Mus musculus: one gene and its partner. The protein of the gene in region 1 interacts with the protein of each later gene in a pairwise test. Links are inferred from orthologs where the notes say so. Each region holds a gene or a part of one and is shown on either strand. Other genes may lie near its edges.

Evidence for each region. The genes of interacting proteins can lie anywhere in the genome.
Region 2: the proteins of Cdr2 (region 1) and Pkn1 interact in binary tests that used the Homo sapiens proteins (3 or more experiments, as listed by UniProt). The link is inferred for Mus musculus from reciprocal best matches to the Homo sapiens genes CDR2 and PKN1.

The regions. Positions count from the first base shown.
Region 1 is NC_000073.6:120,958,287-120,961,936, reverse strand, and holds part of Cdr2 (cerebellar degeneration-related protein 2), read left to right. Parts: intron 1-1,278; coding exon 1,279-1,427; intron 1,428-1,655; exon of another isoform or gene 1,656-1,680; coding exon 1,681-1,845; intron 1,846-3,139; coding exon 3,140-3,650.
Region 2 is NC_000074.6:83,689,150-83,692,799, forward strand, and holds part of Pkn1 (serine/threonine-protein kinase N1), read right to left. Parts: coding exon 3,487-3,650; intron 2,052-3,486; coding exon 1,900-2,051; intron 1-1,899. UniProt on the Homo sapiens protein: PKC-related serine/threonine-protein kinase involved in various processes such as regulation of the intermediate filaments of the actin cytoskeleton, cell migration, tumor cell invasion and transcription regulation.

The DNA.
Region 1 (3,650 bases):
CTCTCCCTCTCTTCTGGTTGTGTCCAGAGGAATGGGCGTGTTGTGTTTGGAATATGCTCCGCTTTAGTGTGTCCAGGTAGGAATGGGATGGAGGGGCCGGGTGACCTAGCTGTGGTATTAAGACTGCGCTTATCCTCCATCTTCAGAAAGCAGTCTTAGCAGGACCAAAATAAATAACCTGCTAAGTATCTCAAGAGTAAGGATAATAGAGATAACATTCCTGTAGAAAGAGGTAACAAGATTTTGATATATATTAAAGTACCTGGTAAAATTAATGTATTTTTCACTAGTTTTGTCTAAAATGCCTCATTCAGGAAAAAAAGATTGATTTTTTTTTTTTCAAGCAAAAAACCCATCAAAATCCTCTACTTTAAGCTTTTCCTTCCTTTTTCCTTTTGGTTAAACATATATTTTAACCTTTTTTGCTTTTTAAAGATTTATTATTTGTATCTGTATGACTGTTTTGCCTGAATGTGTGTACATGCACTTGTGTGCGTGCCTGACGCCTGCAGAAGTTGGAAGGAGCAGATCCCCTGGAACTGGAGCTAAGAGAGGTGGTAATCTGTGGGTTGGATGCTGGCAGTGGGTCGTCATGTCCTCTATAAGAACAAGGGCTCTTCACCACTGCCATCTCTCCAGCCTCTGTTAGACACAGTGCTTAAACTTTTATCATGTTTTCCAAGTTTTCGTGAGGGATTATCATATTTCCTTTTGGGTTTTCCTTTTGAATATTAAGCATATCGTTCGTAAAAGTAGTCTAGACTCATGGAATGTCAGAGTTTTGGGAAGTATTAATGGAGCTAAGCACATTGAAAATAGCTTGTGCTGATTTTATTATTAAAACAAGGTAGTTTTGTTGGGATTTAATATTCTCTTTTCCATTAAGTAAGCTGATGACAACAGTATAGTAAAAAAAAAAAAAAAAAAAAAAAAATTCACTTTTGGTCTTTGTCCCTGAATCCTGGCTTCTTAAAAAGTCTTCTAAAACCATTGTTGTCCAGAGTAATAGGATGACGAGAGGCCCACATTATTAGCTAGCCAGGAGATATGTGGGCAGAGCATCAGGCAACTTTAGTTATCAAAGCCTTTGACAAAACTCTAAGGCTGTGGAGCTTTTGGGCTGGCAAACACATCCCCATGCCAGGCGGGTGCTGAGCCCACAGGTGAAGCCCGGCGCCCTCACCTGGCTTTAGTTGGTGTTGGAGAACCATAGAATTGGTGTTAAGTGTGCAGGTTATCTCATCTGCTCTGTGACCTGATCTGACTCCTCTTTTACAGTACCTGACCAAGCAGGTGGAGCTTCTACGGCAAATGAATGAGCAGCATGCGAAAGTTTATGAGCAGTTAGATGTCACAGCAAGAGAACTGGAAGAAACCAACCAGAAGCTAGTTGCTGAGAGCAAGGCCTCACAGCAGAAAATCCTCAGGTAGACTTTCTAACTGTTACAGGGGACAATCTACAAAGGGGTTAGGATAATTTGAAGTAGAATGTGCCTGTAGAAGGTTGGGCAGTCTAGGATAAGGGTTTTTTTGGGGGGAGGTGGGGGGAGAAGGAGGATTAACTGTAAGTCCTTTCCAATTAAGAAAGCCAAGTTTGAGTGGCTCACACCTAATCCCTTTCATTGGTTTTGATCTTAATTTATTTTGACAAGCAGCGACCGGCTTCTGCTTTATTCATAGCCTGACAGAAACAATTGAATGCCTGCAAACCAACATTGATCACCTGCAGAGCCAAGTGGAGGAGCTGAAGTCTTCCAGCCAAGGAAGAGGGAGGCAGAAGGCATGTGACCAGGAGAAACCAGCACCCAGCTTCTCCTGTCTGAAAGAGCTGTATGACCTCCGCCAGTAAGCGCCTTCCTTGCTGTGGATTTGCACACTGGGAGCATCCCATGTCACTGACATATTGTGGGTTACATAGATGGAACGTGTCAGACACCAGTGGGTAGCAGAGCCCCTGAACCTAAACGTAGCAGTGAGAGTTCATGGGTGTCAGTAACTTTGTGAAAAGTTTTTCTTTCTTTTCTTTTCATTTTAATTTGTTAAATATTAGTTTAAAATTAGTAATACTTCCACCGTAGTACAGATTTGGGAGTTGTATTTCACTTTAGAATGAAGGAAAAGGTGGAAACTTTGGAAGCTGGGTTTGGTAGCTCATGCCTCTAATTCCAGCACTCAGGAAGCAGAGGCAGACTCTGCACGATCAAGTCCAGAACATGGCAAGGTCAGGACAGCTAGGACTACACGGAGACCTTGTCCCAAATGAGAAGAAGAAAAGTATTTTTTCCTAAAGAAATGACTCTATAGTTTATAGTTTTGGTTTTAAGTCTTTAATAATGCTTACTTAACACATATTACATCCAGGAATGATGGCTAAAATGGACATGTTCTATGTCCTCAAAACCCTTCATTCTAATGGAGAGTTAGATGCTCCATAACCAAGACACACAGATAGGTACAAGCTGCCTCGGACTGAATAGAAGAGAGGCCAGTTCATGTCTCTCACATTTCCTATGGCGATTTTGGGGTTTTGAGATAAGGTCTCATTCGGCCCAGCTGGCCTTCACCTCCCACGTGCTGCTGAGATGACATGTGTGCATCTGGCACTGTGCATGTTTTCTTAGAGCAGATACTAACTCTCCTCAGGTCAGAATTTCTAGATGTGACCATTAAGCTGCCCCAGTGGTTCTGATGGGTAGCCCAGGTTAAAGGTCCAAACACTGTGTTCCTTAACCTTGGTTTCACGTTATGGAAAACATTTAAAATTCCATAGGTCCAGGCAGCAGACCAACAATTTTCAAAACCGATGGTGTGAACTCCAGGTTCTAAGACCACCACCCAGCTGATAGTGATCTCCAACTATTGATAAGAATTTCTGTCCATTATATTTCCTAGTAAGCAGCTATCTTTCTGCTGGCCTTGGCATGCGTTTTCTGTACTACTTTTACTGTTGGGGGAAAAGTCAACCACAAAACCTGTATTTGCTTTCAAGAATTCACCAGCCTCATACAGTTTCATGTAGCCACTGCTTGTAGTATGGAATGGGCTAAAAATTGATGTCACAGCTTTTAAACGACTTAGTTGAAAAGCAGCCTCCTCTGCAGTCTCAGCTGACCTTTATATATCCCATGTTTCCTCACAGACACTTTGTGTATGACCACGTGTTCGCTGAGAAGATCACTTCCTTGCAGAGCCAACAGAGCCCTGATGAAGAAGAAAATGAGCACCTGAAAAAGGCAGTGACGATGTTGCAGGCCCAGCTAAGTCTAGAGAGGAAGAAGCGAGTGAGCGTGGAGGCAGAGTATAAAGTGGTGCTGAAGGAGAACAGTGAGCTGGAGCAGCAGCTGGGGGCCACAGATGCCTACCGAGCCCGGGCCCTGGAGTTGGAGGCAGAGGTGGCTGAGATGCGGCAGATGCTGCAGGCAGAGCATCCTTTTGTGAATGGTGTGGAGAAGCTGGTGCCCGACTCTCTGTTTGTTCCTTTCAAGGAGCCTAGCCAGAGTCTGCTGGAGGAAATGTTCCTGGCTGCTCCAGAAGCACCTAGAAAACCACTCAAACGAAGCAGCAGTGAGACGGCGCTCAGCAGTTTGGCAGGGGATGACATCGTGAAGGACCATGAGGACACTTGCATCAGGAGGGCTAAGGCTGTGAAG
Region 2 (3,650 bases), on another chromosome or scaffold:
GGGAGTGTCAGACACTCTAGAAGAAGGAGTCAGATCTCATTACGGATGGTTGTGAGCCACCATGTGGTTGCTGGGATTTGAACTTCTGACCTTCGTAAGAGCAGTCGGGTGCTCTTACCCACTGAGCCATCTCACCAGCCCTGTCCCAAGCTCTTAAAGCCACTAAGTGACAACGTTCTATAGTAACATCATCAAATTGAATCTGTTCTTGTATATCAGAGTACCGCCCTTCACCCAACACCTCGTCTTTTACTGTATTCATCCCCTCGTTCTACTTCGTGATCCAATATTTGCAGCTTCTTCCCCCCACCATGTTAACCATGGCAACTGCAGACTGGTGTCTAAGCTGTCACCAATCCCTTCTAGTCTTGGAGAATAATTCTATTTTGAGTAGCACAGTTATTTAGAATTTGTTTCATATAAAGCTAGTGCATTCCTAAGAAGTCACAGTCCTTTAAAAGACTGTAGCTCTATCATGCCTCGAGGATGCCATCCTATGTCCCCATGACCCTTTTCCACACCGTCAGCAGGCCCATGCTGTACAACTAACTAGTGGTGATCTCCTAAGGCCAAGCTGCCCCTCCTCCATCTCTGGAGCTGTAGCTGGTTCGAGGTTAACCCCTTCTCTCTCTCTAACCAGTTCATCAGCTTGTCCTCTCACTTCCTCAGCCGGTTTCTGACCTGACTGCCTTCGGGCACAGTTTCTTTCCGTCTTTCCTCCTGAGGGAAACTCCTGCTCTCAGGACTGAGCCTTTTCTTCTCTCTTTCCTGGTGCTCACCACCTCTATCCGCAACCTCTCCCATGCACGGTCAACTCCAACCCTTCAGAAGAGAGAGCAGAGTGGCCCCCTTCTTTTCTCCATTTCAGTCATGTTTGTTTGTTTCTCAGGCCCTTCCATTTCCACTAGCAACTTTTCCAGCTGCCCAGCCAGTCCTTCAACCTTTTTCAAAGCAAAATATACAAAAAAGAAAAAGAAGAAAAAAAAAAAAAACCCTTTGGGAGCAAAGCAGGAAACATCCCAGTGGCAACAGCTACAATACATTTTTTGCTGGTGTCTTGAAAAAACAAAATCCATTCCTCCATTCCCTGTTTGTTTTCTCTAATTTCCCATTTTTATCCTTCACTTTCCATGTTTGGGCACCACTTATTGCCTGTCTTGTGCTATTTTATGGGTTCTTCTTTTCCCCAACCATTATCCCCCTGGTTTCACCCCTATCACTAGATAGGAGAGAAAGGATAGAGGGGAGAGGGAGGGAGGGGGAATCCTGGAGTCTTATTTCTTTCTTCTCCTTTCTTCTTTGAGTACAACTACTAACAAACTGCAACCATCCCCCCTGAATGACCACCAGCTACACCCACCTATCAGGACTGTAGCATTTATATATCCTCTGAGAAGTTCCCAGAATTTCAAGTGTTACACAACTGCAGAAACAATATGGAGCTGGCAAAACCATGCCCCTGCTAGAGCACGAGGCAAATCATAGTCAGCTGCTGTGGACAGTCAGAAGCAGTCCCATATCCCACACCTTGGATTAAAATGAAAATACATTCTTTTTTCTGAGTTTGTAAAGAAACAAAAATTCCAAAGTTGCCACTCCAGTTCAGCTTTTGACCTCAGCCTTGCTCTTTCACTTCTCTGAGCCTCAGTGCTCTCAACTACAAAGTCTGGACCTCCACTGGACTGAGGACTCATAGCCCAGTTTGTACCAGCTGGAACTACATCCTCCTCACCTCTCTGAACATCTCTGTGCAAGTGTCTGCAGAGCCACAGACAAATGGCCATGTACTGCAATAATATGATGCCCAGAGTAGATAAGTCAGAGGCAGGGAGCACACGGGAGAGACACAGCCTCCGGTCCGTCACAGTGACGAAAGGTTCTGGAGCACTGTGGTCTCACCTTGCTGCTGCCATTGCTATAGGTCTGGATCATGTTCTCTGCCCCCTGTTTGACCTTGAGCTCAATGGCCAGCTGCTTCTCCAGCCCAGCCACTCTGCTCAGGTTGGTGGATGAGCAGATAGGGCTGCCCTCTGCAAGGGATTGGGTAGCATCTGAGGAAACAAGAAAAGAAGAGAATCACACAGTGGTCACTTCAGTGTACCCAGGAGACCTGGGAGATTTTGTCCCAGCCAATAGGAAACCTTCATCCAGAAAAGGAGCCTAGGGGCCAGTACACGGGCAGGAGACATCTGGCTCTCAGTGACAGACTGGGCTTCAGCATGAGGGAGAGTGAGTTAGTGACCAGGTATGCAGGTCTTCAGGGTTAGCTGGAAAAAATGCCCCCATCTGCCTTAGGGTGTATAAGCCCACTGGTGTGTGTGTGATTATGTCTGTAGGCCACTGGTGGTAGAACCCTAGATGTGGGTGTAACAGTGTATATGTGTGAGCTTACAATGACACTGCTTCTTGTTGGTACAGCTCAGTTCTGATCTCTAGGGGTTTCTAGGATTGTTTTGAGACTTGGCTGTTGTCGTTGTCAGAGGTGAGGTCTGTAACACAAGAGAGATGCAGTGGTGGGGAACTGCAGAAAGGGCTTATGAGACTCTTGGCTGAACTCCAGCAGTATTGGACCCCAAAAGCTGACACAGCCATATGTAGAGGGGCTGAGCCTGTAGGCTGTAGGTAGAGTCTGCTGTGGATGGGACAGTGGTGGGATACCTCTCAAGGTTGGTGTGACCTAGTGGGAGAGCTCTAGTGTCATTGTGGGTTAGTTAGTGTGTCTCTCTAGGTATAAGTGACAGGACGCAAACCTTGGACGCTGTTTGGACGAGATTGTGCTCCTGTCTCTGGAATCACGTAATCGGGTTTGCTGTGTTGCCCAGGTGGCATAATTGACTGTACTTCTCTGAACATGTGTGTGACAGTATAAACTCTGGGTGTCTTCTGGTGTCCCTGTGACCATGACCATCTTAGGTACAAGATGAAGGAACCATTGCTTTGTTACTGCATGTACACACATAAAGTGACTGAACTCTGGCAATGATAAATTGTGTTGTGGGTTTTCTTTATGTACAAGTACACATGTGTGCATGCACATGTGTATACACAGAAGCCAGAGGGACATCAGGTAAGTTACTCACTTGTTCTCCACTTTCCTTCCTTCCTTCTTTCCTTCCTTCTTTACATATTGGAATGATTTAGGGAGCCATGAGGGTGACAGATGTGCAGTATTTGGGTGTCTGTTAGTGTGACTGTGGGCTTCTGGATTCTCATGTGATAGCATGTTTCTCAGTCGTTGTCTGAAAATAGTTGTAATGGTGTCCTTAGGTATCTGGTGACAGTGTGGGTCTCTGGTGTTACCTGGATGCTGGTGAGTCTATATCTAGGTACTCCTAATGCCAAAGACAGCTTTGAGTGGGGTCTGGGAAACAGGTGTGACTGTATTCATCCAGGTGCTAGTGGCCCTGTAAGCCTGGCCTCTCCTGTGGCTTCTGTGAACCCAGGACAGTATCCTGACAGAACACAGCTCCCAGGCTTTCTGCTCACCGCTTCCAGCTGCAGGGTCAGGCAGCACCACATGTGCATGCAGCTCCTGCAGCTGCTGGTGCAGTAAGTCTAGGCGTCGAGCGGAGCCCCGCAGCAGCAGCTCCACAGGGGCCAGGCTACGGCCCAGGTCAGTGGTGGCTCGCCTCAGGTTCTCAGCGCCCTCC